2 linked regions of the Diceros bicornis minor genome follow. The protein of the gene in region 2 interacts with the protein of the main gene of each other region in a pairwise test. Links are inferred from orthologs where the notes say so. Each region holds a gene or a part of one and is shown on either strand. Other genes may lie near its edges.

Region 1 (15,286 bases), on a different chromosome or scaffold from region 2:
TCCCAATGGACAGTAAACATTTCCACTTTGGGGCTATTACAAATAGTGCTGCAATGAACATTCTTATACATATCTTTTGGTGAATATATGTTCACATTTACAAGTAGTAGAATTACTGTATTATAAAGTATGCATGCACTCAGCTTTAGTAGATACTGTTAAAACATGGTTGTACCAATTTACGCTTCTACCAGCAGTGGTTCTACACCCTTGTTAACTTCCTCTTGTTCATTTTAGCCATTCTGCTGGATGGGTAGTGGTATTACATTTTGGTTCCAGTTTAATGTAGTTGAGCACCTTTGCAAATGGTTATCGGCCATTTGGATGTCTTTTGTGAAGTGTCTGTCCTGCCAAATTTTCTAATGGGTTGTTTGCCTTTCTTCTTATTGATTTCCAGTTCTTTCTATATTCTGAATACCAGTCCTTTGTTGAGTGTATGTATTACAAAGATCTTGTACTCTGTGGCGTGTTTTATTTTTCTCCACTGTCTAGTTTATTTTATTGATTGTTTTGCTTCATCTCAAACTAACAGATTCTAAAGCTTAAACTGATCAGACAGAAAACCAACTTGGATATGTCAGGGTAAAAGCTGCTGCTTTCATCACTCTACTTAACTTGCCCTCATCATCTCTGATGATGCATCTTACTAGATACACTAATAAATACTCTTATGTTGTTTAATGTTCAGGTTCTGACCAAGAAGAAGACAACCTTCTTTGGTGGCAGTTCCATTTCTATGGTTGATTACCTCCTCTGGCCCTGGTTTGAACGGCTGGAAGTAGTGGAGCTAAATGAGTAAGACATTTGAGTATTTTGTGAATAATTCAGAATAGTATATATTGACCTTTTTTCTGAACAAAAATTAAAATATTTCATACAACTGGTATGAATGGGAACAAGCAGACAGGAGGAGGAGCGTCTTGGACTATCCAGGGCATGTCATATGCCTGCACTCACCATTCCTCCTCATCTCTAGTAGGGCAGGGAGTTCTGTGACTTAGTAAAATATTTTAAAAGTAATTTACTCCTTCCCTCCTGGTTGAAAATCCAAAAGGATGTACATTTTTATAAGGATGTCATGCAGGATTGTATAACCAATGCTACCTCCCATTTACCAGCAAGATTCCATACTATTTTCCAAACTCCATGCTTTGAACTTTGGCAGCCACCTTGGCTTACTCCCACTTCTTAAAGCTTAGAGCCATTCAGGGTTACTTTTAGTCCCAATTTGGCCATAGATTGGTTGTCTTTCATGTTCTCATTTTAAAAAGTTATCAGTCTCTCAATTTGGACAAGTTCTTATGCTAATGGAGCAAGTCACTTCACTCTAAGATTCCTCCTCCATAAAACAAAGACTTCTACAATATCTTCCAAATATAATATTCTATGATTATGTGCATTTAAAGAAATAGTTTTAAAGGTTAGAAGAAAACAAAATGAAACTGCAGAGTGATCATGATGATATATAGGAGACTTTGCAATGCCTTCATGGTTAATCTAGCTCATGCCTCCATTCTTTCCATCTCCTACAGCTGTGTAGACCACACTCCAAAACTTAAGCTCTGGATGGCAGCCATGAGGGAAGATCCCATAGCATCACTCCTCATTACTGATGCGAAGACCCTTCGAGGTTTCTTAGATCTCTACTTGCAGAACAGCCCTGAGGCCTGTGACTATGGACTCTGATGGGGGCAGGAGTCAGCAATGAAAATATGTCTGATGTTTTCCTTCACTAAAATGAATAATAACATGCTTTTATTTTACCAATAAAAGCTGTCACTTCTCAGTGGCTCACCTTCTCTGATTTGACATCATGGCCTAACTGTGGGGTTTCCTCAAGGCCCTCCTGCAGAAATGTGAACACATTTCCTGTCTTAGGATGCTCAAATGACTCTAAGGGATCTGTCATAGTCTATGATGAAAACCTCTAAATCATCATCTCTAGTGAGAGCTGGACTTCAGTCTAGATTTCTAACTGTCCATAGGACATTTCCACTTGGATACTCTGTTGTCATTTTAGGAGATGCCCTTTCAAGTTTGTCTTCTGGGTTCTGAGTCAAGAAACTTTCAATTCCTTATTCTTTCCTTTCCATCATCAACTTATTTCACTACCTTTCTTATTCCCATTGTCACCACTAAAGACCAGACTCACATCACCTCATAGCCAGGTGACTAGGTGGCCTCCCATTTGGTGTCCCCATCTCCAATCTCTATCCCCTTCAAATCCTTCCTACTAAATCCCACAGTGGGCACACAGCAGGTGTCCCATATAGATAATTAAATACTTTGAAGACCACATCCGTCAATACAGTATGTAAGGCTGGATGAGTAATGCAGAAATATTAATGCCATCTTCCATACACTTCTATAGCTCATTGGGCTTCTCACTATTTAATTTTTATGATCACATCACCTCCATAAGAAGGCAGGTCGGAGAGCATCATTTCATTTTACAGATGATTCAACTAAGGCCCCAGCGTTAAGTAAGGCCTTAAGATGCTGGCAGAAAGACCTGCAGAACACACCCAGCACACTGCTCTTACTATCAGAATTAGGGGGCTGTCGACCCGCCCAATACACGCTGGTTTCCTGTACTTAAACTTAAGAGCGCATAACAATCACCTAAGGCTCACTGCTGGATTTCGGATCAGTAGGTCCGGGGTGGGCCGGGAAATCCATATTTGAAATGAGCTCCCCGCTCCACGGTGATGAGGGCGACGCAAGGGCCGCACCCTGAGAGGCAGCAGAGAACCAGTTGACTTCACAAACGGCCTCCTGCCGCCCACTGTCACCACCAACGCCCAGGCTCCGGGCGGACCCATCTCTGCCGCCGTCCGCCTGCCCCACCCTCCAGGCCCGGGTCGGCTACATGCGGACGCCAGGTGGACTTACACCCGGGCGCCAAGGTCCTCACCCAGCCACCACTTGGCTTCCACACGGACACGCGCAGGGACTCACGACTCCAGGAGCTTGTAACGCGGCCGCCGATTGGCTCACTCGGCATTGCTAGGCCGGAGCGTTTCCAAAGGCTTCGAGGATTGGCTGAAGCTCTGGACGCTGCGGCCAGTTGGCGGGTAGGATTCTAAGGGGCGGGTTCTGCTTGGGCCCCGCCTCCCTCTGCGGCCACTGCCTCTCCACTGTCGGTTCTGCGTGCCACGGGGCCAGAGGTCGCTCGGGGGTGTCTCTCCATTCACCGCCACCGGGTGGGCCGGTCAGGCCTGTGCTGCGTTTGAAGAGAAGAGTGGGTTGAGGTTAATTCTGAATTTGGGGATTTTTCACGAATTTCGGGGCCCAGAATAGGATTGCCAACTTTATTTTGCCTAACACCTTTAAAAGAAAGTCCAACTACTTTATCAAAGTTTCATCAAAGATTTTTAACATCAAAAAACGTACAAGGGTTATAATCTAAGGCTAAGAAACACGTCTTTGAAGCGAATATATTTAACGTAAAGAAAAAAACCCAAATTCATTAAGTTGTTATGTTTCTGATTTGGCTGGAGACAGGTAAAAAAGCCCGCAGATCACTAGTTGTCAGCGCTGCCTCTTGGCACCGCTAGTTTGGCTACATTATAAGGCACTGGCAATCTGGGGAATTTGGTCTCTGAGAATGTCCTGTCTTTGTGAGGTCTATGGGTCTTCCCTGCTACATTCAAATAATAATAGCTAATGTTGAATGCTTACTAGATAATAGAAGAACGCTAAGTATTAAATGCTTCTCATCCACTATTTGAATTAATCCTCTCCAAATCACGTGATGTATTGGTACTATTAGATCTGATTTACGGATGACAATACCGGGGCACAGAAAGTTGTGATTTGCCCAAAGTCAACCAGCTAGTAAATGCTGAAGAGGAGATTCAAATCCAGCCTGAACTCACAGTCATTTAGACCCTTCTTGAGATAAGAACTTACACATGCTTCTGCCCCGGTCTCTTTTTTGTTCATCAGCTCTTAGCATTTAGAGCTTGAGCCAGGAGAGGCTTTTTGACACACCACTATAATGCCTGGGATTTAACAGGAAGTGTTGATGTTCCTTTTCCAAACTCAGTGTGTTTTGTTTGATTTTACAAATGTTTGACTTTGGCTGATTTCAGGATCTTGAAAATCTGCGTTTGTTCATTTAAATGTTATTATATCAAAATGTTTAAATTTTTTTTTCTTTAATTCCTCAAGCTGTAAAGAAAAATAGTGATAGGAAAGCAGAATCAAGTACTTAAAAAGAAACTCACCTTTGACTCTGCTTTCCCTAGTGGGAAGATGAAGTTCCTCCTCTGACAACTTTAGTATAATTACTATGTCCCAGATCTGTGGTTGTGTGTGTGGGAGGAGATTCGATGAAGGTGGGCAAAAGGTACCAACTTACAGTTATAAGATAAATAAGTACTGGAGATGTAATGTATAACAAGTTGACCATAGTTTACACTGCTGTATGGTATATTTGAAAGTTGCTAAGAGAGTAGATCCTAAAAGTTCTCATCATGAGGAAAAAAATCTTTTTTTATAACTATATGAGGAGATGGATGTTAACTAAATTTATTGTGGTAATCATTTCACGATATATGTATGTCAAGTCATTATGTGGTGCACCTTAAAGTCATACAGAGCTGTGTGTCAATTGTAGCTCGAGAGAACTGAAAAAAAAAAAAATGTCCCAAAGACATTACAACACAGAATTCCCTATAATCCTAACTTCCTGGGAACAAGTCCTGAATCTAGGCCCATCTGAAGATAGAGCCTTTTCCCTCACTTATCCCACTTTGAATTTGAACAATATCTGAACACCAGGTAACATAATCTTTCATGTAAGTTAGGCTTCTGAAATATTACGAGGAATGTCCTTCAGTTTCTACCACTATCAGAGATTGGTATGACAAAAAAATTTTGAAAAACTGCAAAATGCAAACTCCACTTCCTCTCCTCTTCTCAAAACAGAGTCTTGTGAATCGAGTGAAGAAATTACTTCTGTAGTGGCATTCTCTTCCTAGAAGGCTTAAGTCATTATCACCCATGACAAAAGTTCCCCACGTTTTCAAAACAGATCCGATTATATTTCAGGTAGCTGGCAACCAATTTGGAGTAGGTTTAGTATGGCCTTACTACCATTGGTTTCTTGCTTGAGTGAGTCAGTATAACAGATGTGTAAACATGATATAATAACAGAGAAGGAAAATTTGCAAAGAGGATTTCAGAGAGGTACGTATTGGATCTTAAAAAGGAAGTAGGGATAAGCTTAAAGGTCATAATTAAAATCTTTCCAGGGAAACCATAGTGTTCAGTGGTAAGATTAAAAACCACATTACTGAAACGTAGCCTGCAGCGTTCAACCCATTCAGCTGGCGTTAAACTGGTAACTGATGAAGTTAGTATTCTGGGTTGATTCTGGTTTTAATTCTAATGTGCTTGGCAAAGCTGAATTGCAGTGCATTTCATCTTTGTGGATATAGTGTTAGGATGCACTATGCTGTTAAAAATGTGTTCTAATTTACCGATATTAGTCATTAATTTTGAAGTACACTGAGCTCTTACTGTGCTGAGGATGGCCTGTATGATTTCATTCCACACTGAAAACCCTTCAAGTAGGTACTATTAGTATTCTCATTTTACAGGTGAGGAAGATGAAGGTCAAAGAGGTTAGATAGCTTGCCTGCGTGCCAAAGCCAAGGTTTGGGTATAGTGCCAAGTGAGAACCTTGACATCTTATGGCTTCCCTTCAGCAGAAGAACTGTTTCCATCCCTCTGTCTCTTCTTCCCTAACTACACTAAATAGACTTGCATTTCAGAACATTACTTCCCATATACAGGTATACTTTTAATAACCAATATTTTCCAACTCTCAGAGCTGGTTTCCTTTAAAAGGTGGGAATGAGAAGAAAAAGCTTAGAAATGCATTCTCTTCTGACAAAGGAAAAAGCTGTGGATCCAAGAACCTTTTACTTTACAAATGGAATTCCCAGTTGGCCATTGCTATTCAATCATTGTCAATATACACCAGGGATGGGCAAACTAAGGGCAGTAGTCCAAATCCAGCCCACCGCTGGTTTGTGTACAGTCCAAGAACTAAGAATAGTTTTTACATTTTTAGATGGTTGAAAAATAATCAAGAGAAAAACCATAATTTGTGACACATGAAAATTATATGAAATTCACTGAGTGATTCCTAATATAAACTATGGACTTTGAGTGATAATGATGTGTCAGTGTAGGTTCATTGATTGTAAGAAATGTACCTCTCTGGTATGGAATGTTGATGGTGGGGAGGCCATGCATGTGTGGGAGTAGGGGGTATATGGGAAATGTCTATAACTTCTGCTCAGTTTTGCTGTGAGCCCAAATCTGCTCTGAAAATAAAGTCTATTAAAAAATACTATATATGTGTGAAATTCAAATTCAGTGTCCAAAAAAATGTTTTATTGGGGCATAGCCACACCCATTCGTTTTTATATTATCTATGGCTGTTTTCACCCTATGAGGGTAGAGTTAAGCAGTTGAAACAAGATGGCTTGAAAAGCCTAAAATATTTACTCTCTTGACTTTTATAGCAAAAGTTTGCCTGTCTCTGGTGTAGATTAAGATCCTGGCTGGAGTGCTGCCCTTGGAGTCCAACTTCAAGGCTTCATAAGCCTCCCTCTCCTTCTTACTAGTTGTGAAGCTTTTTACAGGTGACTTAACCTTGCTGGCCTCAGTTTACTCATCTGTTAAAATGAAATAATAATAGAACCCTTATAGGACTGTTTTAAGGATTAAATGAGTGCATACACAAAAAGCATAAAATGTTAGTAACAACTTATTTTGATTTTGAGTATTTCACATTCCTCTTATGGCCTTCCCTTTTAGAATCTGGATATATTCTCTCTCAACTGTTTGAAATCTGCATTCTTTATGTGAGGGATTCATTTGTCTGCCTAGGTGCCTTCCAGAAGCTCTCACGTGATGTGGTTACATTTGTTGCTTCTATTTTACCACCCAGTTTGTCCTTCTTAATAAAAATTAGCTCCAGATTAGTAGTTATCCTGTTCCTTTCTCTATCTTCCAAAATGCACAGTTGTCAGCATGGCAAGTCAAGAACCAATTTCTCTTTTCCAGTACCAGATTTCTTTTCAGAGAACATTTATTCAAACATTTTTGCCACTCCCCAATTCTTATAAAACAACAACTTGCCGTATCTCACGTGAAATCACTCTGAATGATTTAGCAAAAAACGTAATTGAACCACTATTCTGAAGATTTTCAAAGATTCTTATTCAGTAGAAAAAAAATGTGAACACTATTAATCACTATTAATTTCTGGATAGATTGGAATTCCAAAGCCCAAATGTGCCCATTCATAAGGTGCATAATTAGGTTCTGTCATTTTTAATAAAGATATGTAGATTCAGCTACCATTTGTTGAGCAGCTATTATGTGCTGTATCTTTTCCGGGACTTAGATCCTCTCCTCTCCACACTGTTGCCAGCTGTAAAAGCCAAGAGAATGAGTCAGGCTTTGGAGTTTTAAAATTCTTCAACCCAACTAGCTGGTCACTTTGGGCAAATAATTTCCTTTTTCTGAGGCTGTTTTCTATTTTGTAAAATAGGAATAGTACTAGCTGCCTAACTGAGTAGTTGTGGGAATCAAATAAGGTAGTCCGTGGAAATCATTCAGTCAGTGTGAGTGAAACACATAATACTTCTCCTTTTTACCTGTCAATCCTACGAAATCCATTTACAAGCAATTCCCATTTCAGCTCGGCTCTGCAAAATTAAAGGAGTTATCTTTCCGCTTGCTAAATTTCAGGATCTCAGCCTATCAGGGTCAAGCAAAGGCAGCTACCTCCCTTATCTCATGTAGATGGAAAAGCTATCCAAGTGGCCCCTGAATGGCTGTGCTGTTGGCAATGTGTCCTTCACAATTAAAAAGGATTTTCTTTGAAATTTATGCTGAGGGTGTGGAGAGAGCTCACAAATGTGTCTTTGCCTCTAGGTATCCTGTTTCTATTCGTTACCAGTTTTTCAGAGCTTGGGTGAAATCTCACAAATAGGGCCAGAACTAGGGTGAGGCAAGTGAGGAGTCGAGGGCACAAAACGTAAAGAGGCGCTCCTTCTCAGCGTCGTGCGAGATCTCAACACTAACAAGTTTTTCCTTCTTATCTGCCATATCATGAGGAAGTTTGGCCTTATTTTAAAAAGGAAAAAACCCCTACTCATTATACAGAGGATGTGTCCAATTAGAGACGCAGGAGGGAGGGCTTAGAATAGTAGAGAAAACAATAGCGTTACCCTGGTCAATTTTTATTCAACTCCCTTGAAATACGTGCCGGATGGAGTTTAAATGCCTGTTCCTTGCGGATTCTTGACGTCGAGAAGAGACCCCACCGAATGGTGTACGCACGTTTTCAAAGCAAGGGGTAATTTTCAGAGTTTTTGCTCACTCCTGCTACTCTTTGGCTTCTGAATCTGGGGCGATGTCTCTCTAGGTTAAGTTATCCTAGCTCTGGTCCCAGATCATTTCCTCTCTGCCCCGCCAGAACCTAGTCGTTCAAAAATTGAATTTGGGGCGGGAGGCGCGCGCTGGAGCGCAGCTGTCGCTGGAGCCTGCGGTGGCGAGGAGCGGCAGGGCAGCGGCTGTGAGCGCCGGGCGATGCGCAGACGCCTGGAGACCATGGCTGAGGATGCGACCAGAACCTTAGGGAAAGGTGAGTCCTCTCGACAGCGGTCCGCAGGCGGGGGGCGCCGCATGGCTGGGATGTTGCCTCCGGAGAAGGGGCTGCCCGGCCTTGGTCCCGAGACCAGCGCGGCGGGGAGGGACTTGAAGGGTTCCTTTGCGCAAAAACCACGTGCAAAGTGCCCTCTCTGGGACTCCGGAGGTTGAGGGCGCGCAGCCCTCTTGGGGTTCCGGGTTGGGAAGTGAGCCCCTCTCCCCACTGGTCTAATCCACCTCTCCGTCCCCCTTCCCCCCGCAGGAAGCGTCCCCCCGGGGCCGGTCCCAGAGGGCCTGATCCGCATCTACAGCATGCGGTTCTGCCCCTATGCGCACAGAACGCGCCTCGTCCTCCAGGCCAAAGGCATCAGGTGAGGAGCCGGAGGCCAGCGCCCCGCAAGCGCAGGGAGATGTGTAAAATCCGGGGCCCCGTGCTCAGATTTCAGAGGGGTTCCGTCTCTTTCTTCTGAGTCCAAGTGAATAAATGATTAGCAAAAGGCGAGATTTTTAGCGCGCGGTCCTGAAGTGCAGAGCTCATGCGGGGCCGTGTCTGTGAATGAAACTTTTAGAACAACTCAGAGTGAACTGAATGATGGCTCTGGTGAGCTGGTTCCCTCCCATAATGCTTGTGAAGGATGGGCGTAGCGGAGGCCACCGAGGCCTTCTCTGCTCTTTGGAATGTAGCCCCCACCCCCGCCCCTACCCCAGGCACCTTCAGATCAACTCTGTTGTCTTCTTATTGCGCCTGTTGCATCCAACATTTTCTTATTTGTTTATCCATCTTTCCTCCACACCCCCAGCCCACTTCCACTCACCCCCCTCAAATGTAAGTTCTCGAGGGTGGGGACTTTTTCTCTTGTACTCGTGGGCTAGAAGAGAGCCTGGCATAGTAGGTGCTTAAAAATGTTTTTTGAATGAATCAACAAATAGTTCTAAACAATGAAATGGAAGGAACTGCTGTCAAGAGGTGTCTTGAAGGTCCTGACATACCTGAGAAATGGGTCCATATCCTTCCAGAAGGAATTTTGCCAGACTAGCTCTTGCAAAAGAGGTCTGGATTTGGAAGGCAGAGCAACGTTGTGGAATGGGCCCAGCGTGATGCAACAGGCCTCAAAGCTGAAGTGCTGAGGCCGTGTTCTTGACTCTTGTCTTGGAGAGGCCATCATTAGAGGGTGACTTCGGGGTGTCAGAGAAGTACAGAGACTAATATAGAGACATTTTAGATAAAATTGTGTAATTCTGCTTTGTTGAGTGTATGTGGCATATATTTCCAGATTCTTCCCTCTTGCTCAGTGCTAGTTGGCCCTAAGTTTACCTGTTTAAAATAACAGTAGCTTGATGTTTTACCCATAGTCATAAGTTGGCAGCTTAGGAACTAATGTCATATTTCTTTAGGGCAGGGTTCTCAACCGTGGCGCTATTGACATACTGGGTCAGATAATTCTTTGTTGTTTGTGTGTGGTGGGGGTGGGGGGAGGCTGTCCTGTACGTTGTTGGGTGTTTAGCAGCATCCCTGGCTTCTACCCATGACAACTAAACAACGTCGCCTCTGGTAACATTATGGGCTTGAACCTCTCATAGTAATAATTAATAACAATAAGAGGAATACAAAGTTATTGCTTGTTTATGTTTCTAGGCACTATCCTCAGCACTTTATACAAATTCACTTACTTGATCCTCACAACTATGCCAAGAGATGGGTACAATTATTATCCCCATTTTACACTTAAGGACACTGAGCACAGAAAGGTTAAGGAATTTGGCCAAGAACACAAGCCAAACTGTCCAGACCCCAGGCCATCAGATGCCAGAATTCATGCTCGGAATGCTAACATTGACCATTCTCTGTTGTGACCTGTTAATATCAGATTTGTATTTTCAAGCTTTAAAATGTACGAAACTCTGTACTGCTGAGGTTAAGCACGAGAGCCCGGAGTCAGACTTCCTGGGCTCTGGTCTTGGCTCTGCTCCTTCCCAGTGGTGATATTGGCAGGAGATTCAACCTCTTGGAGCCAGGAATCACAAGGAGCAAACAAGACAAGGTATAGAAAACAGTGAACACATCTTACTGTAGGGATGCAGACGATGTTATGTACTTTTCTTTGTAAAAAACCTAAACTTTAAAAAACTTAGTGCAAATTTAAATTTTATAAATTGACCTCTTTTGCTTTCAAGATGAGCGTCTGCTTGAATAAACCTCTAATGTTTGTTCTGTCTTGTTTTCCCTTTGCTTATTAAGACATGAAGTTATCAACATTAACCTGAGAAACAAGCCTGAATGGTACTACACAAAGCACCCTTTTGGCCAGATTCCTGTGCTGGAGAACAGCAAGTGTCAACTGATCTACGAATCTGTCATCGCTTGTGAGTACCTGGATGACGCTTATCCCGGCAGGAAGCTGTATCCATATGACCCTTATGAGCGAGCTCGCCAAAAGATGTTATTGGAGCTATTCTGTAAGGTATATCCACTTTTTTAAAAAGCCACTTACACTCTATTTTTCTTTGTGTGTCTTTCCCAAACTTCAATCCATTTTTAAAACCAAATCACTGGTGAAACTGTTTTGTTTAAATACTACGTATGCCTTAGGAGGGTAACTGGTACAGAATTACAGTAGGACTGCCACCTCTGATATTAAAGGTTAAAGGCTTAGCTGATAGCACTTTTCCATTTCATTAGCCATCTCCAGAGGTATGGTTATGGCATAATTATGACTGTGTGACCTGAGATAGGAATATTGAAAGAGCTGAAAACTGGTGATGCTTTAAAGGGAAGATGTCTAAGGTTTCAGGTAAAAAAAATATTGGGGTGTGGAGAAGGTAATGCACTATGCCCTTTATGCAGAGCAAGAGTGCCGACTGCCCAGGAAATGTGAAGAAGAGAGAAAAGGGGCACCTGTTGATAATGGGAGAAAAAATGATGGAGAAATTTTAAGATAGTTCTCTTTGAAAATAAATAAAAATAACTCAATGATATTAATAGCTGACATATACTGAGCACTTATGAGGTGCCAAGCACTGTTCTCGCTGCTTTGTAAAGGTTAACTCATGTAACCTGCACAACCGCCCTTTAAGGTGGGTACTATTATTGTACCCATTTTTCAGATAAGAACACTGAGGCTTAGAGCAGTTAAATGCCTTGCCTAAGGCTGTACAACATGGTAGTAGCTGCTCAAGTAAGGAGCACTGCGGAACCCCTTTTAAAGCACCTTGTTTTACCCGGGTGCTATGACACGTGGATTCCTGGAACCACAGAGATACCCCTTAGAGGGAGCTGGGGTGCGTGGACGTGAGTGTTGGCCTGTTAAGTTGGAGTGACAAAGCTTTTGCTGCCTTTTTAGGCAGAGCAGGAGCACGGAGTTCCCGCAGACTTCTCCATTAAGAACCTGTGTCCTCTGATTAGGTGCCACATCTGACCAAGGAGTGTCTGGTAGCACTGAGATGCGGGAGAGAATGCGCTAATCTGAAGCTAGCCCTGCAGCAAGAATTCTGCAACCTTGAAGAGGTACAAAGAGGGGCCCCTCTCCTGGTCAGATACAGGGGAAGAGGCGATGCAGGGTCCCTCATCTGGTCACCCTGACACCCTCTGCTTTCACAGACTTATTTTTTCTGCCAGACTTTGATAAGTTCAGCTACTAGTCATCTGATTTTAACTGTGGGTGCTTGCCCTCTGCTGACCTGCTCTGAAATTATTCTTGAAAATCTGTGAAGGAGTTGGGAGAGGACATGCGATGAATTTCCTCCTTCCCTTGAGTCACCACTTATCTTATGTATCTCCATATGGCTCTGTAGCTTCTGCCAGTGAAGCCGAGGTCTATATTGGTTAGGAATTGTGTTTGGCTGCTAGTAAAAGGGACCTAACTACTGTAAATTTATCTTATAAGGGTTTATTCTCTCACATAAAAAAGCCAGAGGTTTAGGGCAGTTCAGGGCTGTTTTGATGGCTTCTTCATAAGTTACCAGGGACTGAGGTTTTTTCTCTCTTTCTGCTCTGTCGTCTTTCGTGCAAGCCTTTCGTCAAAATGAAAGATATGACAAGGTGACAAGATAGCTGCTGGAACGGCAGCCATCACATCCAAGTTCCCGGTTGTGGAAAGGAGAACAGAAAAAGAAAAAATGGGAAATGACCAGTCTCCCTTAAAGGACAGTCTCCAAAGTCCTACCCAATGACTACTTAAATCTCATAGGCCAGAACTTAGTAGTAGGGTCATCTGTAGGGGAAGCTGGAAAATTTAGTGTTTTAACTGGGGACACCCTGAATAAAATCAGGCTTATGTAATTAAGAAAGAAGGGGAAAGTGGCTATGGGTGGGCAAGGGGCAATATCTACCAGTAGATCCTTTATTAACCTGGCTGTAATAGGGCTACTTACCCCTTACCTTTAGAATAATCTTGAAGGTGGTTCTTTGACTTCCTTTATCTTTGTTCCAGAAACTGATATGTTCCCTTTCTGTGTGGGTTGTAACTCTCTTGGCAGCCAGAGAACGCCGCTATTTTTATCTCCTCAGGGAAGGCTGATTATATTAATATTCTTCCATTTGACCTTTGTCAAGTGGAAACAGATTAAATTTATTTACTCTTGCAGCTGCCTGTCTTAGATTTGTACAATTGCAGTACTTAGGGGTGATTAATAGTAGTATGTAAGAAGTGTAAACCTTTGGTCCTGAGACCACTGACTATTATCTTGATTCTGAGGAGTCAGTATGATGTGGTGGAAAGAGTCTTGGATCCTAGGCTTGGCTTTACCAGATTCCAGAACTTTGGGCAAGGTCCTAGACCTCTCTGTGCCTTAGTTTCTGCATTTATAGAACAAGGGAGTGTTTTGAAAGGTGTGTTCCTCAGAGCCTCCAGGTTCTGCAGAGGGACCATCCTGGGAAGGGAGGCTTGGTCGTGGTTCCAGATCCTGCTTCTCTCAGACCAGCCTTGCTTTCATTGCCACATTTAAGATACCTAATAAGATTGCATCTGGAGAAGAAGGGGAACCACTGCTTTCAAAAATAAGTTTGAAAGCTCTCGTGTGTAGAGAATTTTTAAGGTCTTTATTTTAAAGATTAGCTGAACTGATTCCATCATGCCTGGTTACCTTCTTAAAAATAAATGCTGAGCCAGGGAAAGGAGCTGGGAAACAAAACTCTTTGAATCAAAAGATCATTGAAAACATATTTTGACCTGTCTCCCTCCTACTCTGCATTTGGTTGATGGATGAACTTTGTATATTACACATTGCTAAATAAGTGTATAATATTATGATGGAGGCATGGTTCTCTAGTTGGGGCTCTTCCAGAGGAAGTGTGCCCATATTTCCGTGCCATGCATTATGCTGCAAGTACACTGCATACACCGTCTCATTCAATCCTTCCAACCACCCTCTCAGGTAAACAGTACTATCCCTGCTTTGTGGATTGGAGTGGCCTCTCTGTGCAGGCTCTGAACTAGGTTCTAGGAGTACAGAAATTAAAGACCTTCAAGGGGCTCAAGCCTGGAGGGGGGGACAGACTGTTAAACCCATTTGAAACCTAGGTGTATTGAGTGCTGGGCTGGAGAAATGCCCAAGAGAGAGCTGGTGGAGTGGGGGTGGATTATGCCTCTCTTGACTTCTCCAGGGTGAAGTAGAGGCACGGGGGAGAGAGACTAGTGTGTTCAGCAAACAATAAGCAGGGAGTGGTTGGTGACCAGGGAGTTGCCGATAAGGGGTGAGTGTGGAAGTGGCCCAGAATCCGACACTAAAGGGCCTTTTCCACTGTGCCAAGGAATTTGAACTTTATACCCAAGTTGATGGGGAGTAATCGAAAACTATTATGAAGGGAGTGGTGTGCTCCCTCTTGCTTTTAAAAAATATTTCAGCCCAACAACCATGTGGGGCATGCATGAAAGGGAGAAATTGGGGGACAGGGGAGGGACAAAGGGGACCACACTAAGAAGGGTTGGAGAGGGAGATTCAAGTGGGGAGATTTTCAGAGAGTAAGATGAGAGGGAATCTGGTGAGAGGTAGCAATTGTCGAGGATGGTTTCCACTCTTCTGGCCAGTAAATGTGGTGCTTTTCACCGACAGTTGGCAGGAAGATCAGTTGTGCTCCGTGTGAGGTGCTGATGGGATGTTCATGTGGAAACCGAGCTTGGGAAGGTAGCCCGTGGGTGTCCGAGGCCTCCGAAGGTCTTACTGCCCGGGGGCTTGACTTGCCAAGGACAGTGCCCCTCTTCACACATGTGACTTGGCATTAACAAGCAGGGCTGTCTCTCTTTGTTGAATTAGGGCTAGTGGAGGAGGTGAAGCTACTCAAACAGAGCCACAAAATGCATCGATTATAAGAACAAGAATTGAAATTCCGTGTTTTACCTTTGTGGCTGCCATTCAACCAGAGAGATTAGGAAATAACCAGTGGTGTGGTGATAAATGTTTAACAACTGGCTCCCTCTGAAAAAAGAAGAAGAAAAAAGCCCTGATTTGTAGCATTTGCTGGCTTCATTGGTGTAAATACTCCCACCAAAGGCTGATTTTAACCTATCAGTGTGAAATCTCAGAGTTGGGAAGAGATGTGGGCAATCAGCCCTCTCCAGCACATCACTGAATAACATGTGTCCACTTTATGGTCAGTGGACAAGTCCTGGAA
Region 2 (15,461 bases):
GGGCTGTGTTCCCTCTCCGCCTCCCACAGGGCTTCTTACCGGGACGTCCTCGATGGCGTGAGGTAAGGAGTGGATCGGGAGGTCTCCGAGTCCTGAGCCAAGCCCGTGAGGGCCGTGCAAGAGGTCCTCGTGCCGCCGGTAATCCCTGCGAGGATCCAGGCCCGACAGCTGGTGGGGCAGCCCCCGGTGCGTGTGCAGAAGCCCAGACTCCTGGCTCTGCCTCTGGCCGGGCCAGCCCGGGTGCTGTGGCTGCGGCTGGGCGTGCAGGGGGTTCAGGCTGTAGGGGTCGTTGACGTGGGAGTAAGGATCTTGCGACTGGGGGTAGATAGGCTGGTAGGGCGGGGGGAAGTAGGGGGGCTGGAAGTCGGCATTGGGGGTGTGGGACAGCGGCGGGGCGCTCGTGTAGGGAGATTGACCTACAGTGCCCAGCTGGGGCAACCGTGCCGTCCCGTTGCTGGTGCCGTCGTGACGGTCCTAGAAGAGAGCGAGAGGAAGGGGCAAAGAATAAGAAATCAGGCGTCGAGTTACAGCTGTGCACTAAATCCACTCCGCAGGACTGCGTGGGAAACCGCCCGTTCCCATCGGCAGGCTGCCGAAAGAAATGAGCTCTACGTTGATCATTTCGGAAAATACCCCAGAAGTGAGACGGGCTCTTCCAAAAACGCAGGGAATTAGATTGTGCAAACGTAGCGGCATAAGACACTCTTCTTAGGCTTTTCTTTCAAAGAGGGGGAAAAGACAGAAAAGGGCCTCCCGGAATACAGCCCGTTAAGCTGCAGTGTGAAACCTCCCTTAAGCAAAATTAAAATTCCTACTAAATATTAAACAGCAGAAGCGGCCTTTTCTTTTTTCCCTGGATTTGAACCTGCCTGCCACTGCGTTATTGTTTACTCTGTTCCATTTATTTGGGGAGGAAAATCATACACGTTCAAAGACTATTACCATTTCATGACTATTTAAATAGAAACATATTTCGTAGAGGGGCTGTAACGAAAGCACACGTTTAAATTACCAGCTTAAAGAAGGTTTAAACTGCAGGTTGGGGGTCTGTCTTTTCCGCTTCCTCAGTTAGGAGCCTTTCTCTCGACAGAGTCGATTTTTGATATGGATGGGGAGAGGGGGACGTCGAGTCAAGGTTTAAAATAGAAAGATTCAGCCTTATTGGGTTTAAAAGAGAAAGGTGCACCCCGGCGCGGAGCAACATCCCCCCGCCCCTTCCACCCCAGCCCCAAAGGGCAGAAGAAACGCCTGACTTTATGTTCCTCTATTGCAATTCGCTTGCAAAACAAGCAAACAGAGTTGATTCCAGGGAAGGCGAACCCTCGGGCCCCGAGGGTAGGGGGCACATCGGGCCGCGCTTTTCCTGCAGATGGATTAAGCATCAGATGTTGAGAACATCTCGGGAACAAGTGAAGACGCAAGGAAATAAAGATGAGGGTGGCGAGAAACGCCTTGGGAAGTAGCGGTGAGGTAGGTCTGTCCGCCGGGAGAGGTCGAGCGGAGGCGGGGGAGGTAAGGCATTCGATTTAAGAACGGAAAGGAGCGAGAGAAAAGAGGAAAGAGGGAAATGCAGATGGAAAGGGGTTGCCCTGAAGGAAACCTGGGCGTGAAACGCGAGGTCTCGGGCCGCTCCGCAGCACCAGGTTTCCAGAACAGAATTCCTAAGGAAACAGGGATGGGGGTGGGGATGGGACTCACCATAGCTGAAAAACTGTGAACTAACATCTGCGAAGAGTCTGGGGTAACGAGTCAGGGTGGAAAAAAACAAGCAAGCCTGGAGAGCCTGGCTGCCCCGCCGCCCGAGCGCGCCCCACACAAAAGGCGCCGAAGCCCCGCGCCACCCAGGACTCCAGTCACGGCGCCGACGCTGCCCCGAGCACTGGAGCCCCGCTCTGGTCCATCCGAACTTGAACCACCGATTCGAGCGGCGCCTTCAGCTGGTCGAACCCACGGTCTCTATCCTGCCGTGATCGGTTATGATTCAAAGTTCCTTTAAAAAGGAAAAACCCCAAAAAAGGAAAAAGAAAAAAGTGTGTGTGTCTGTGTGTGTGTGTGCGTGTTCCTTAATCCGTGTCTCCCCCTCTTTTCTTAGCGGCGGCTTCGCTTGAGCTTCTAATAACCGCGCTGGGCAGCGTTCCTGGAGCTTCCTAATAGCAGATATTCATGACTATTAATATTACACGAATACTTAATAAGGGAAGAATGCCTGGAAATCGAGCGTGAAGCGGAGAGGCAACTCGCGCCGGAGCCGGCTCTCAATGCAGTCCATTGACGGGAGCCTCAGTGTAGCAAATCGGAGGTGGGGAGAGGGAGCGCGAGAGACAAAAAGCGGGCGAGAGAGGGAGCGGGCGAGCGCGCGGGGGGCCGCGGCGCGGCGTCTGGCGAATCACAGGGAAGGGGCAACATTTTAAAAGGTTGCAGGGCATGCAAAAGTGAAAGAGAAAGAGGGAGAGAGGGAGACCGAGGGAGAGAGCGCAGAGAGGGAGAATGTGTCTGCGTGCGTGTGTGAGAAAGAAAGTGTGGGCGAGAGAGGAGAGACTGGAGTGGGGAGAGAGGAGGGAGGAAGGAGGGAGAGCCCGAGAGGAGGAAGGGAGGGAAAGAGGGAGGGAGGGAGGGAAGGAGGGGGAGGGGGCCGAGCCGGAGCGCACGGAGGGGGAGGCAGCGGGGGAGGGGAGGGGGAGAGGAAGCGAGCGAGGACAATCAGACCTAAAAGGCTGAGGCAGACCTCGGGATAGCGCGGGGGCCGCGTGTCGCGGGCAGGAGCTGCCGGCGACTGCGTCCGGGCGTTCATCGGGCTCTCGGCACGGTGGGTGCTTCCCGTTCCTCTCCGGCCGCGGGCTCCTCCGCTCCGCAGCCGTGCCTGGGACTCGGGATTCGGCTGCCCGCTGCCGCGCCGCTCCTCCATGGCCCGGCGCCCCGCCCGGGACCGGCCCTCCCGCTCCGCCGGCCCGCGCCTCGGCCACCACTCGAGCTTCCCTCGGACACCCGGGGCCGTCCGCTCTGCGGCAGCTGCCGCCCTGCCCGTGGCTCTCCAGGGCAGGGGCTCGGGGAGGGAGAGCCGGGACGCGGCCAGGGGCGCGCAGAGACGCAGGGCGGCCCAGCCTGGGCGCCGCTGGCACGGGCTCCCGGCTCCCAGCGCAAACCCGTCCGACTGGCTGGGCCACTCCCGCCCGACGCCCCCCCAGATGACACGGCTCGCTCTCTCCCAGCGCGGCAAGGCGGCCGCCGCTGCCAGTCTGTCCGCTGGGTTGTCAGAACAAGCGGCACTTCGCCTGCTGCGTGTCCCTGCAGAGCCCCGACATAATTAGACAGCTCCAAGCCGGCTCGGAAACCCGAAATCCCTGCTCCGGCGCTCGCCCACCACAAAGTTGTTGAAACAGCCTTCACTCTATTTATTTTCCTCTCCTTCTTGTTTCTCATCTTTTTTTTTGCCTCACTCACAGACACATTCACACGCGCCCCCACAGGGTCCCTCTCTGGGGGTGCAAGTTCATCGTCTCTCCCGTCGGTTCCATAGGCGCCTAGCGCCTCGCGGAGGTTTGGACCCCGCCCGCCCAGGGCTTGGAGCCCGGAGCTAAGTTTGGGCCTCCGCGAAAGTGAGTGCCCGAACCTCGGGCCACAGCCCGGCTTGGGACAATTCACCCTGGGAAACTAAGGGGCTCAGTTTCACCCAGACCAGCTCGCAAAGGGCACCTCCCCAGCCCTGAAAACAAAGCGACTGGTCTGGTGGGGTCTCTGAGGCCCGCACTGTGCACGACAGAAGCCCCCCGAGAAAAGCCCGTCCCCGCGGGATATCACCCGGTGCCCCATCCACAGAGCGGGCCGGGGGGGGGGGGGGGACGGGAAAGGAGAAAGATTTAAAATAGTCTACAGAAAGGAGAGGGGGAAGGGGACGGTGACATATCGTTCACATAAACTCAGGTTCTGATTTCAAGTGAAGACAAGACCCCTGCCGCTGCGTGCGCACAGACCTCTACGCCTGACATTCTCGGCTCCAAATGCCGGAAAGAAAGCAAGCCAAGGAAAGAGAAAAGAAAAATAGCAAAAGCCGGGACAGCCACCTATTTATTTAGGTAATCTTGGGCCGCGGGCCTTCCTCCCCACCCCCTTCCGTGACTCATCCGCTCATTTCAGCAGGAGCTGTAAGGGAGGTTAGGGCAGCGGCCACCAGGTCCGTTCCCAGCGCCTCCCGCGAGCGGACAGGACGGGTGGTGCTGGGGCTCCCCCGGCTGCCCCAAGAAACTGAACTTCGGGAACCCAGGGTTTTAAAATGGGCTTCAAAGCGGCGCGGTCTATCGTTCCGGGGGCTCCCGGCACCAGGGATCGTGTGCAGCCTCGCCAGGATTCCCACGGTCACGCAGCCGAGCGCCGGGCGGCTGCAGGGCAAGACGTGTGGGGACTCGGCGGCCAGTAGGCTCCGTGCGGTGCAGCCCTCCTCCCCCACTCCAGGGGTGCGCCAAGTAGCTCAGAGGGAGAAGCTGTTTAGAACTTCTTGAATAACAGAGTACCTGGAGCAAGCCCCGTGGCAATTTGGGAGATGAGTGTTTCCAAATTGAACCCGCTTACTGGGAGGTGTAACTCAGCTCAGAGCGAAGTGTGCGGCCCCTTCTCCAAAGAGAAGAGAGCCTTTTTAGAAAGGGGGAGGGGAGGGTAGGAAGGAAGGATAGAATGAATAAATAAAAGAAGGAATATTAAAGAGTAGAGAGGATGTTAAAGAGGGAAAGGGGTTTTCTCTTTCCTTTCTCTTCCTGGTGACTTGGGCCCCCAGAATCTCGCTGGAGAGTCACGCAGAGTGCAGAGGCGTGTGCCCAATTGCCAGTAACTGCTTCAAAAACCCATGCTCATCTCTTAGCTCCACTCTTAGGCACAGCCAAAACTGATCAGAAAAATGGGGAAAGTGGGACACGGGTTTCGAAGGAGGGAAATGAAAGAAGGGACCATCCACATCCTCCCTCTCCAGCTTCTCCCCTACATTCTTCGGGCGAATCGGAGAGGCGGGCGCTGCGCTGGGGAAAGTTTGTCCCACCTGCATTTCGCAGCTGGCTGCGAGGAGAGGAGGAGGAGCGGGAAGGTAGAGCTCGGAGCCTGCCGCAGCAAGGATAACTGAGCCAGCGCCGCGCTTACCTCGCAGTCCTCGTACTTGATATTATCCGTCAGTTTCCAAAGCATTTTCATGGATCGGCGTGAACGGATTTGCCCCCTGTCCGCCTCGCACCCAAGTGGAGCTACTCTCTGGGTAAGCGCAAAGTGCTGGCTGCCGGCGGTGAGCGCAGGAGGAGGAGGAGGCGAAGAGGAGGAGGAGGAGGGCGAGGAGGAGGAGGAGGGCAAAAAGGAGGAGGAGGAGGGCGAGGAGGAGGAGGGTGAGGAGGAGGAGCAGGAGAGAAAGGAAAGAGCTCCCGTGTGCGCTCGGAGATCTCCCTCTAATGGTAGAAACTTTTCCCTTTTCCAGCTCTTTACCAACGGCCTAATCGCCTCATTAGCATATCAACAATAGTCCAATTGCTCTCCAGCACCACAATCTGCCGCCGGCCGCTCCAACCCAGGTATAAAGGCCTCTCCGAGCCGCGAACTTGCTTCTAGAGCACACGCCTGCCTGTGAGCCGACGAAATCTCCCCTGAGCCCCGCCGCGCGCCCCTGCCCCAGCGCCGCCTCCCGCCCCCCCGCCCTTCATTCCACCCCATTCCTCTAACTCTCCGTCTTCTCCTCGCGGGAGACGTCCTCCGCAAAAGCCAGGCATTGCGCAGGGTCCGAGAGGTCGCTCCTCGAGCCCGGCTTCCAGCACCTCTCCCCCACCCCTGCCGCCACTAACGGCGCTGTCCTTTCGGCCCTGTCCAATTTTATGAGAAATTATTATCCCTTTCGCAATTAAATATAACCACCAAACCAAGACCGGCGAAGTTACTCCAGGATTTTTGCCCCAAAAGAGATCGCCTCCGCTCGCGGCAGCCGCCACCTCCGGCCGCAGCGCTTTGGGAGTTTTATTGGCTTTGCGCTTTCCCCCCAGGTTGGAGATTTTACCAAACGGCTCCAGTCGCTCGGCTGGGGTTTGCGATCCTTTAATTGCCCCGTGTAAAATAAAAATTGTACCCTGAAGAGGTTACTTGACAGCTCCAGGGGTTAAATGATTTTCCTCTCGTTTGTATAAAGCTAGGGCCGACTGATAATTCAACGTGGTGTTTGGGCTAAGGGTTTCCTGGGTGCGATGTGGACAAGAATACAGATACAGAACTCCTATGGAGACTCACAGTCGCTTCTGGAGTTGAGCCGAAATACCGACATGTGCGCGCTGTGTCATGCATGCATCAAAATAAATCGCTGGGAACCAACTCTTCGCTGTGCTAATCTGCTCCAGTTTTCCCAAGATCCCCCTTTTTAATTAAAGCAGGAGATTTCCTTCATGATTTGGTGATGTTACTAACGCGGGCGCGCTGGCGGCGCAGTGCCCGGCTGACACGGAACCCGGAGGCCTTCGAGCCATCCTCTCGTCCATGTTGGCCAGTCTAGATCTCCTGCTCCACACAGGGGCCTGCTCGCCCCACTGGGGCTTTATATTTTTTTCTTCTGTTTCAGCGAATTTTTTTAAGGAAGAAAGAAAAAAAAGACGTGATGTGATCCTTCGAAATACAGAGTAATTAATTTATCTGGCTGAGCTTCCTCATTTGTCCTCCATAAAAAAGTTTCTGTCTTTCTCCCTCTCGACGATCGAAAACTCCCCAACAATAGTAGGTCTGGCCTCCGAGTTGCTCTAGTACGCCCTCCGATTCCATCTGGGCCTGTTTCTTGCAAATCGCCAATCCTCCCAGGTTTCCAGAGTGCGTCCACGCAGAGCAGTGCAGGCTGTTCCAAATCCGAGCGTTCCCTAACAGGTGGAAGGAAGGCAACAGGAGGAAGGATCCCTCCCCTCAAAGCTGCGGAAAGACAATTCTCCCTCCAGAAGACTGCAGCAAATTCCCCAAGCCAGGCAAAGGAGGCCAGAGGCCCCCCAAAAGTTAGAAAGAAGGCTAGAGCTGGGCGGAGGGGGGAAAGATGGGTAGAGCTGGAGGGACGCGGTCCCAACGCCCTGGGCGCTCCCTTGCGTTCCCTTTCCCCACCCGAACACTAGCACAGTTGCTTGGCTGAACCCAGCTCTCGGCTCTGCACCGCACTCTGCCCAGAAAATGGTCAGCTTCCAGTGCTAGCACACGCACCCTGCGGAGCTGCCCTCGGGCCCGCAGCTCCACGCAGCGGCTTGAAGTCGGGAGATAGGCCGCCGGGAGCGCTGACACCTTCCCAGCCGCGGCCGCCAGCCGCAGAGCGTGATCTCTAGGCCAAATCCTAGGCCTGGGAGCATGGGATTTTACAACCCCCAGATACTGCCAGAGTGTGCTTAAGGGAACTCTAAGTTTCGCTTTCTTTTTTTCTGCTTGTGGGCTAGGGAAGGCATTTAAGGCCCTTCATCTTCTCCACTCACCGCTCCCGTCTTGCTGACCCGCGCCCCGCAGATCTCCGGCTCCGCACCCGCGGGGCTGCTAAACTGTTGTTGTACTCCCGCCGAGGGCGCCTTTGAGGTGCAGATTGGGGCCTACCCGCTCCGTGCTGCCCGCCCGCGTTACCGGCGCTGAAGAAAGGCCGGGTGAGCACCCCAGTCGCCCCTGGAGCCAGCCAAGCCGCGTTAATGTGAGCGTCATTACCAAGACAAGTCACTTCATTGCATGTCAATGCTCCAGCATCGCCAGACCCGGGACAGCAGCGCCAGGCCTGGGGGTAGGGGTCGGGGGTCCAGGCCAGGTCTGGCGTGGAGGGGGCGTCCGGGGAAGAGCCAGTATCTGTGTGAGTAACAGGGACACCAACAGAAACAAGGAGACAGCGAGGGGCCAGAATGACTCTATTTTCTTAGGTTGTCCCCACCCAGTGGGACCTAGGAGCCCAACAGGCCAAGGCAGGAGGATCCGGCCCCTCCATGCCCCAAATCCCCCTGCCCCACCCGAGATCTAGTCTTCCCACCACATGCCAAACTGTGAGCCCGCAGGAGCCAGGCCCAGGATTCACTCCTTTCCCCTTCAGGCCGGGATCTCGCAGCTTCCGCACCCTAGTCCGGCCCTCTGGAGGCCCAGACCTAGGCCGAGCCTGCGCTCCGGGCGCCTTCTCACCGCCGAGGAATTTTGCAGCAAAGTTCGCCCGGCTTGAGGAGAAAACTCCAAAGACCTCCGCCAAAGAACTCCCCCAGTCTTCACTACCCTCATTCTCCAGGGAAGAGGAGGAAGAAGGGCCCTGAGGCCCAAAGGGGCAAGGGAGAAAAAGGTGTAGATTTCCAGGGTTTGTGTTTGGTGAGGGATTTGCATCCTTAAACCACAAAGTTAGTCAAACTTTGGGGATGAAATTGCACTTAGTGAGATTTAACTGGGGGGAGAAGTATAAAAGAGCCCACGGTTAATAAAAATAAGTGCAAGGAAAGAAATAAAAATTGCAAAAGCACTTCCTTTCCCCGATTCCAGGGAATGTAGTGAAGACGGGACTTCTCTAAACTTTACTTGCAATGGCCTAAATCTGAAACAAGCGAAAGAAATTGCCCCAGAAGGAGCAGGGCTCTCCTTTTCTTTGGGAAGTTCGGGGCGTTCGGTTGGAATCGCCACGCAGGCTTTTAGGAACACAGAATCTCGCCCTAACCAGGCCTGGCTTGGCTGGGGTGAAAAGAGGGCCCCGCGGTTCCCATTATGAAATGGGCGACAGGGGAGAGGCTGCTACCCTCACCAACCTGGCCAGAGCTGCCTTGGTTCCCGTAGGGGAAATGTCTGGAAGGTAGAAGGAGAGCGCTGGAAGAACGCCTCCGTTGCCGGGGTCGGGGCCCCGGGCTCCGGGAGGGCAGGATCTGGAGCCTAGGTGGCCTTGTGGTGTCGGAGACCGAGTAAGGCCCAGTTTCGCAGGCGTTGGTTTCGGCAAATTCTAGACCTCCTGCCTCATCACTCACCCTTCACTCCTCATCCAGTCACCCCCATCCGGAGCCCAAGCTGTGAAAACTGGCTTCAGGAAGCGGACCGAGCGAGAAGCTAAACTGAGCAAAGTCTAAGTATTACCCCAAAGAACATGCTCGCCGGCGCGACCCGTCCACCTGGACCCCTTTTCATTCTCCACTCCCCGTAGGTCACCAAAACTTGGAGACACAAAGAGAGACAGGTGCACCAGAAGCCCACCTCACGCGCAGCCCTGGGGTCTAGGGCAAGACCCAAGGGGTAGCGAGCAGGGAAGCTTCCTCTCGGCGTACCGCACCCCCGCCCTGAGCCCTCCCCCCTCCTGAATTAGTCATCTACCCCTATTTCTCCTTGGGGTGGGGGAGGACCGCTGTAACGCAAACCGCAAGTGACCCCCGGGGCCACCTGTGGAGCGCGCGCCGGACTTTCTCCAGCTCCCGGCCCGCCCGCGGCGCGCGTAGCCCCCAGCACCGCGGCCTCCGCCTGCGCTCGTCTTTCCTGTCCTCTTTCTCTCCCGGGAACACTCCTGGGCACTGCCAGGCGCGCCTCACCTACGACTCTCCCGCCCTGGGCCAAGGCTCTTCCTCTCCGCCTCCCCCTCCCGGCCCCCTCCCCCGCTCCACCCCCGCCCACCTCAGCCCCAGCCAAGGCAAACCCCCGTACCTGCCAGTCCCCCATTTTGGCAAGTATGGACATCGCGGCTCGGCGCTCCTGGCGACGGGTCCCCGCCGGGCATGGGCTGTAGGGCTCGGCCGGGCCCGCTCCCTGGAATCGCTTAGGCAAATCCTCCTTTTTTACCTGCTCACCAACATCTCACCTGGTCATAAAGAGCTGAGTTGCTACCTGCTGACGCATGCGCACTAGCCCAGGAATGCACTCCGCCAGCCCTAGTCTCAGCGCCTCGCAGAGCTGACCTGGGAAGTGATGGATTTATAGCCGCGGCAATCTCGCCATCAGTTCCAGCTTTTCCCAACAGCCCCAACCCGCTTTCCCGGTCAGTCCCTGACCAGGGAACCGAGGCCGACTGCCTGCTGGGGTGTGCTGGGCGCGATGCGAGTGTGATTGGGTGTGTTTTCGCACTCAAGCAACGGGGGCATCTACAAGCTCTTCTCATGGCTCTCCTCCCTCTCGGAACTTGGGGGGTGGGAGAGTCTCCACCCAGAGGTAGGGGTGGGGGGAAGGCAAGGCCAGGAGAGGAGGCCAGACCCGATAGGTCCTGCGCACCTGAATGCACACGGTGGGGCCAGATCCCGGTCCCGGCCTCCCCACCGGCCCACGAGGTTCAGGGCACTCCCGGCCCTCGCGGACCCCAGTCTGCAACCCCCAGGGCTGCTTCAACGTCGGATCTCAGATCAAAGTGTTTCTCAGTAGGTGAAGACGTTCACGATTCTGTTTCATTTCTGGCTTCTAGGTTTAGTCTCCTCCCACCTCAGAGAGCCGAACACACACACACACTTGCACACTCATACACTTACACTTCTATTGAAGGTCCACTCTCTCTTCCCACTTTCACAGTCCGCCTCCCCCACTCCTCTATGGCTTCCCAGCTCTTCAGCTTTTCCACTAAAAACTTTTTAAAGGGAGAATGGGGGCGTTGGTGGTTCTGGGATGGGCACCTGAAGTTTGGGTTGGGGTTTGCTTTCCCATGACAGATAAAATCACTCAGATGATTTCACCGCTGCTTCTAATTAGAAAGGAGCTTTAAAAGAAGCCACAGGATTTCGGGCTCCCGAGGAGCTCACCTTCGTCAGGAACCACACCTGGCCGGCCGGGAGGGAGGCGAGGGTGAGGAGCTTAGCCTCGGCTGCCGTCACCCGCTACCGTGCCAGCCTCATGCTGGCAGCCGCGAGATCCCACTGTCCAGGGCTTGGGCCTGGGACTCCTGGGACAGGCCCATTTATCCTCCCAAGCTGCCGTCGCGGAGACTGCGAGATGTACAAAGAACCGGTTTCAAATCGACTTCTCTGACATGTCACGTCAGACGAACGTGTGTAAAAGCTCAGCTCCACTCTGAGGAGTGAAGATGTGTCCCCACACCAAAACCTCCCCTTTCTAAGCCTGCGCTCGCGCCTCTGTCCCTGTGGCCTGCCCAGGTGGCCTTGCGCCCTCCGCGCATTTCCAGGGGTGGGTAGTGGTGTCTCTCCGAGGAGACCCCGTGTCACCTAGGCATTTGAATCGTCCCCGGGCTGCGGGACTTTCCTCTCGGTGCCGATTCTCTTGTTGATCTGAAACTTTCTTGGACCTGCCTTAGAACCTTGCTCAGCAAGTTTGGGTTTTGTTTGTACATTTTTTTTTTGCTTGCGAGAATTTTAAATAATTTGAGTTATGGCGCTTTTAATCCATAAGTGTCTACGCTTCACTTTCCCCGCTTTTTCCAGACTGTCGAAATAAGTTGGTGAAAACTGAATTCTTCCAAGTCCAAGCCACACGCGGAGGACGCGTCTGTAGCACTTCGAGATTCCGGCGGGAGGCGCTGTGCTCTCTTAAAAATGAGCACAGTTTCAGGCTCGGGCAGCCTGCCTTCTCCCGCGCACGGGTGGAACAAGAGCTGGAGGGACCTGGGACCCGGCTGGCCCGGCCAGGCCGAGCCCGGGAAGGACGAGCGGGCGTGTGCTAGGGCTGGGGTGGGGCGCGAAGAGTGCCATCTCCAACTTCGGTAGTGTTTTTGCGGGGGAGTGCGGGACGTGTGCGGCAAGGAGGAGACAAAGCTGCCAGTGGGATCAAGCGCGAAGCCACGCTGCAGCGTAGGGTTGGGTGGAAGTGGACAGGACGGTGTGGAAGCGAAGCAGTCCAGGCCTTGGGTGTGAGAGCCCTTGGTGTCTACTCAGACGCTTGGGACTGGGTCTGGGGTCAGAGTAGGGGGAGGGGAGAGAAGGGAGGAGGGACGCGAGGAATCTGGGAGCAGCCAGGAGCTAGAATTTAGCTTGGGAGTACGACCGCTTGGGGTCCAAACTCAGCTCTGTCCTTTACGTTTACCGGCTGAGTGATCCAGGACAAGTTACTGGACCCGTCTGGACCTAAATTTACTCATTTGTAAAACGGGTAATTTGTTGTGAGAATTCACTAGAGGAGTGTGCTGAGTGCTTAGCACAGCTCCTGGCCCATATTGTACTGCTGAGCCTGGTGAAGGATGGTCTACTCCTCCCCATCCTCCACCCTCAGGCACCCAAGATCGGTTCAATTCAAGATGACGTCAACTCCATTGCTCCTTCCCTGGGCACACAGTAGCCAGATGTCGTGGTCAACTGCACCTCCCACGACTCCCTCCTCAGAACGCTCGTCTTCCCAGGTGTGCGCCCTCCCTCTTACTCCCCAGACACCCTCTCACCCCTCAGGGCCCTTCCCCACCTAGACCTCCCACCCAGCTCAGCACTAGCCTGATTCTGCCGCCTCCAGGAGGGAGCCACCAGGGGCAGGTGGAGGATGCCTCCCAGCTTCAGCCTGCGCCCAGACTCTGGTCAGCCACCCAAAGGAATCAGCTGCGCCCAGTGCCAGGGCAGGCCCAGAGCCACTAACTGCCCTAGGTGACCTGCCCCAGGATCCAAGCAGTCTCCAGAACTGTCTGGCCTTGGGCCTCTTGAGAATCAAAAAAAACTGCGGCTTGTTTTACTGGATTAGGGGAGGGAGATCAGCAGGAGTCCCTCTCCCCCACTCTGGTCGCGCCACCACAAAGCAGGCTTGGCAGCTAACAGGTGCTGGGACTCTCGGCACAATCTCCAACTTTTTTGTGCATCGCTCTGTGCGGGCGACCTGCGCTGTGGGAAGGAGCAGGATGACTTGGTGTCAGATTGGGCGGAGCTCCTGGCTTCAGGTAATGCTGAGCTCAGGCTCTCTGAGGCCCCTGGTATCCCAGGATATCCTGGTGGAATCTATTCCTGTCCCATAACACACCTCCCCCCTCCCACTCCCCCCCTTCCCCCAGCTTCATCAGCCCCAAAGTTGCAGCGGCAACAATCTTTCCTTTAGGGTAAAGCTCTGATTGAACGGCATTCACCCCACCCCAGAGCAGCCAGGACTCTTCCCCCACCGTTTCATTCATCAGCAGGTGCCAAACCCACTCTGGGCGTTTGAGGTTCCTTGGAAATCTAGAGCAATGGGTTAGCGTGGAAATTCACTTGTGGGGTGGCCTCGGCCTCGCTTAGCTTTCCCCTAGAGGAGTCGGGGATTATTGGGACAAGTTGAGTGACCACTCACTGTGCCTGCACCTCTTCTTCTCCCGAGGCTCGTCTTCCCCGCCTCTGGGCCTGGAGAGCCTGTCAACTTTGGGTCTTTCTTGGGCCCCTCAGAGAGGTAAACTGGACCCCAGGCTCGGAGCAAGGAAAGGAGAGGGCTGGACCACTCACGGGAGAAGGTGAGGGGAGTCGAGGTGCGTCTTGCCACACCCAGATCTGAGGCGTTCACCTGGGGCGGTTCTTCCAGGGGGCAAAAGCTCGCTTGACTCTCCAAAAGGATTAGACCAAAGGAATAGGGTTACCAGTAACCACAAAAGAAAGAAGCCAAATCTCTTACCAAAGGTGCCCAGGAAGAGCGAAGAAAGGAAGCCCGACGCCCCTGACAGGTGTCCACCGCACGCCTGCCAGGCATGCACTTTCAACTGAGAGTTCTTGCAGCAGAGGGTACAGTGCAGCAAGCTGGGAGGCCCAAAAGCTGAGATTCTAGAGATGCCCTGGAGGCCCGAGGTCCACGACCCAGCTCAGTGCGCCCCCCACGCGCGGCCCGGGTCCCTCCCGGCCCCAGGCGACAGGTGCAGCCGCAGCCTCGGCCGCCCGCTGTGCCAGGGCGGCTGCCGCGCACTGGTGCGGAACCACTATCGGAACGAGTTTGCGCTTCTGTTTACAAAGCAATCCTGCCATCAAAAGAGGAACAAAATCACCACTTATCACACCCTGTCATAAAGTAATCTGCCCTGGAGGGAAACCCTAGAGAAGAATCGCGCGGAGTGTGTGTGTGTATGCGGGGGGAGGGGGCAAAGAAAAGGTGAATGCTCCCCACTCTCCTCCAGAGTAAATCGCTTGGACACGCCGCGTCCCTCCAGGCCCGGGAAAGACAGAGGATAGCCTGAGCGCCGGTGCGGGGTGTGACAGGGGAGCCCAGCCTGGGACTGGCCCGGCATAGCGCGGAGTCTCTTGGCTCTTGGGAATCCACTCATCTGCCTCTCCCCACTCCGATGTCTACTTTTCTAGCATGTTCAAAGACTCACTAAAGCCTGCCTCCCATTACCCCGAAATAGACGGGCAGAGGGGGGAAAAAGTGAGTTCTTGGAGATTGCGCGGTCCCTTTTGATCTCTTCCCTCGCAGGGACACTGCAAGGCCCAAGGGACAGTCTTCAGGAATCCCTAACCGGTTCTAAGAGGTGTCGCTCCTCTTAACACTGCTGTGCGCCCCTCCCCTCCCGCCCCCTGCCGTGCACTTGTTCCTGGGAGGGGGGGCGAGGATTAAGGACGCGCTGGGCAGTGCCGGCCAAATGGCCAAGAAATGGCGGAAAGGCAGAAAGTCCTGGGAACTTATAAGCAGTCCCTGTCGGGACTGGTTCCGGTTATCTCCATCCCCTTCCTGGCTTGTCTAGAGTGAGATGAGAAAGTCTTCAGGGAGTCAAACCTATGCACAGCCTAGTGTTTGAGGAGGTTCCTCTGGGCTGCCTCTGCCTCTGCCTCTCCTGTTGCCCTTCAGAAGGGGAAGAGAACAAGCTTTCCCACCCCACTCCCACCGTTTCCCTTCAGACGTGCACTGTGAAGATCTTTCTAGTCATAGTATCAGTAATTCACTGCTTAATATAACCAGAGTTTGAGTTTGTGCGTGAGTGATGCTGGACATCCAGTACTATTTGCCCTACCCCATTCTCCTAGCCAAGGGCGAATTTCCCCTGCTGCCAACATTAATGTAGCAGGTCAGCATTTGGTGAGTTTGCATGCAAGTGCCTGCCATCCAGCCTGGATTTAGGACTCTCGGTCTCCGTAAGTCCAGCCTGAAAAGTCTATAACCATTGGCCCTGAGAGATAATTTTGGCTCCTAATGGAATATCTTGAGCTGGGGTGTTGAAGGCACTACCTATTTACCCCATGCAAGGCAGAATTTTCAATGTTAAATTATCATTTGCGTTTTTTAAGGCCTTGGCAGAATTGTTTCATCCTTTATAATTTCTCTGTGGGTGATGAAAGCGGACAGTCAATGTCGTGTTTGTGTCACTGTGCAAAACATCTGTAAGGTAAGGAATTTTCCTTTCCAAAGACTGGGGAGAGCTAGATCCCAAGCCGGGGGAATCACCAAGAGCAGGATGGGAGAAAGTCCCCATCCCCTCTCCTCCCAGGAAAGTTGTCCGGGAGCAATGGATAACTTAGGGCCGTGGCATTCAAACTTTGCTGTATATTACAATCACCTAAAGAGTTTTAAAATCTCGATGCTCACGTGGCTCCCCAAATCAATTAAATCAGAGTTTCTAGGGGTAGGACCCAAGCACAAATATTTTTTAAAATATCCCGGCTGATTGCAAAGTACAGGCAAATTGGAGAACC

Evidence for each region.
Region 1: the proteins of TFAP2A (region 2) and GSTO2 interact in binary tests that used the Homo sapiens proteins (3 or more experiments, as listed by UniProt). The two-hybrid records come from large-scale screens. The link is inferred for Diceros bicornis minor from reciprocal best matches to the Homo sapiens genes TFAP2A and GSTO2.

Annotation. Positions count from the first base shown.
Region 1 is NC_080745.1:69,062,435-69,077,720, forward strand, and holds the start of GSTO2 (glutathione S-transferase omega-2), read left to right. Parts: upstream 1-7,214; 5' UTR 7,215-8,307; coding exon 8,308-8,383; intron 8,384-8,503; coding exon 8,504-8,671; intron 8,672-8,938; coding exon 8,939-9,047; intron 9,048-10,915; coding exon 10,916-11,138; intron 11,139-12,079; coding exon 12,080-12,181; intron 12,182-15,286. Other genes in the region: GSTO1 (glutathione S-transferase omega-1), read left to right, coding at 689-795, 1,533-1,686. UniProt on the Homo sapiens protein: Exhibits glutathione-dependent thiol transferase activity. Has high dehydroascorbate reductase activity and may contribute to the recycling of ascorbic acid. Participates in the biotransformation of inorganic arsenic and reduces monomethylarsonic acid (MMA).
Region 2 is NC_080753.1:56,159,987-56,175,447, reverse strand, and holds the start of TFAP2A (transcription factor AP-2-alpha), read right to left. Parts: upstream 6,944-15,461; 5' UTR 6,301-6,943; coding exon 6,247-6,300; intron 5,342-6,246; exon of another isoform or gene 5,176-5,341; coding exon of another isoform or gene 5,125-5,175; intron 2,500-5,124; exon of another isoform or gene 1,726-2,499; coding exon of another isoform or gene 1,699-1,725; intron 475-1,698; coding exon 40-474; intron 1-39.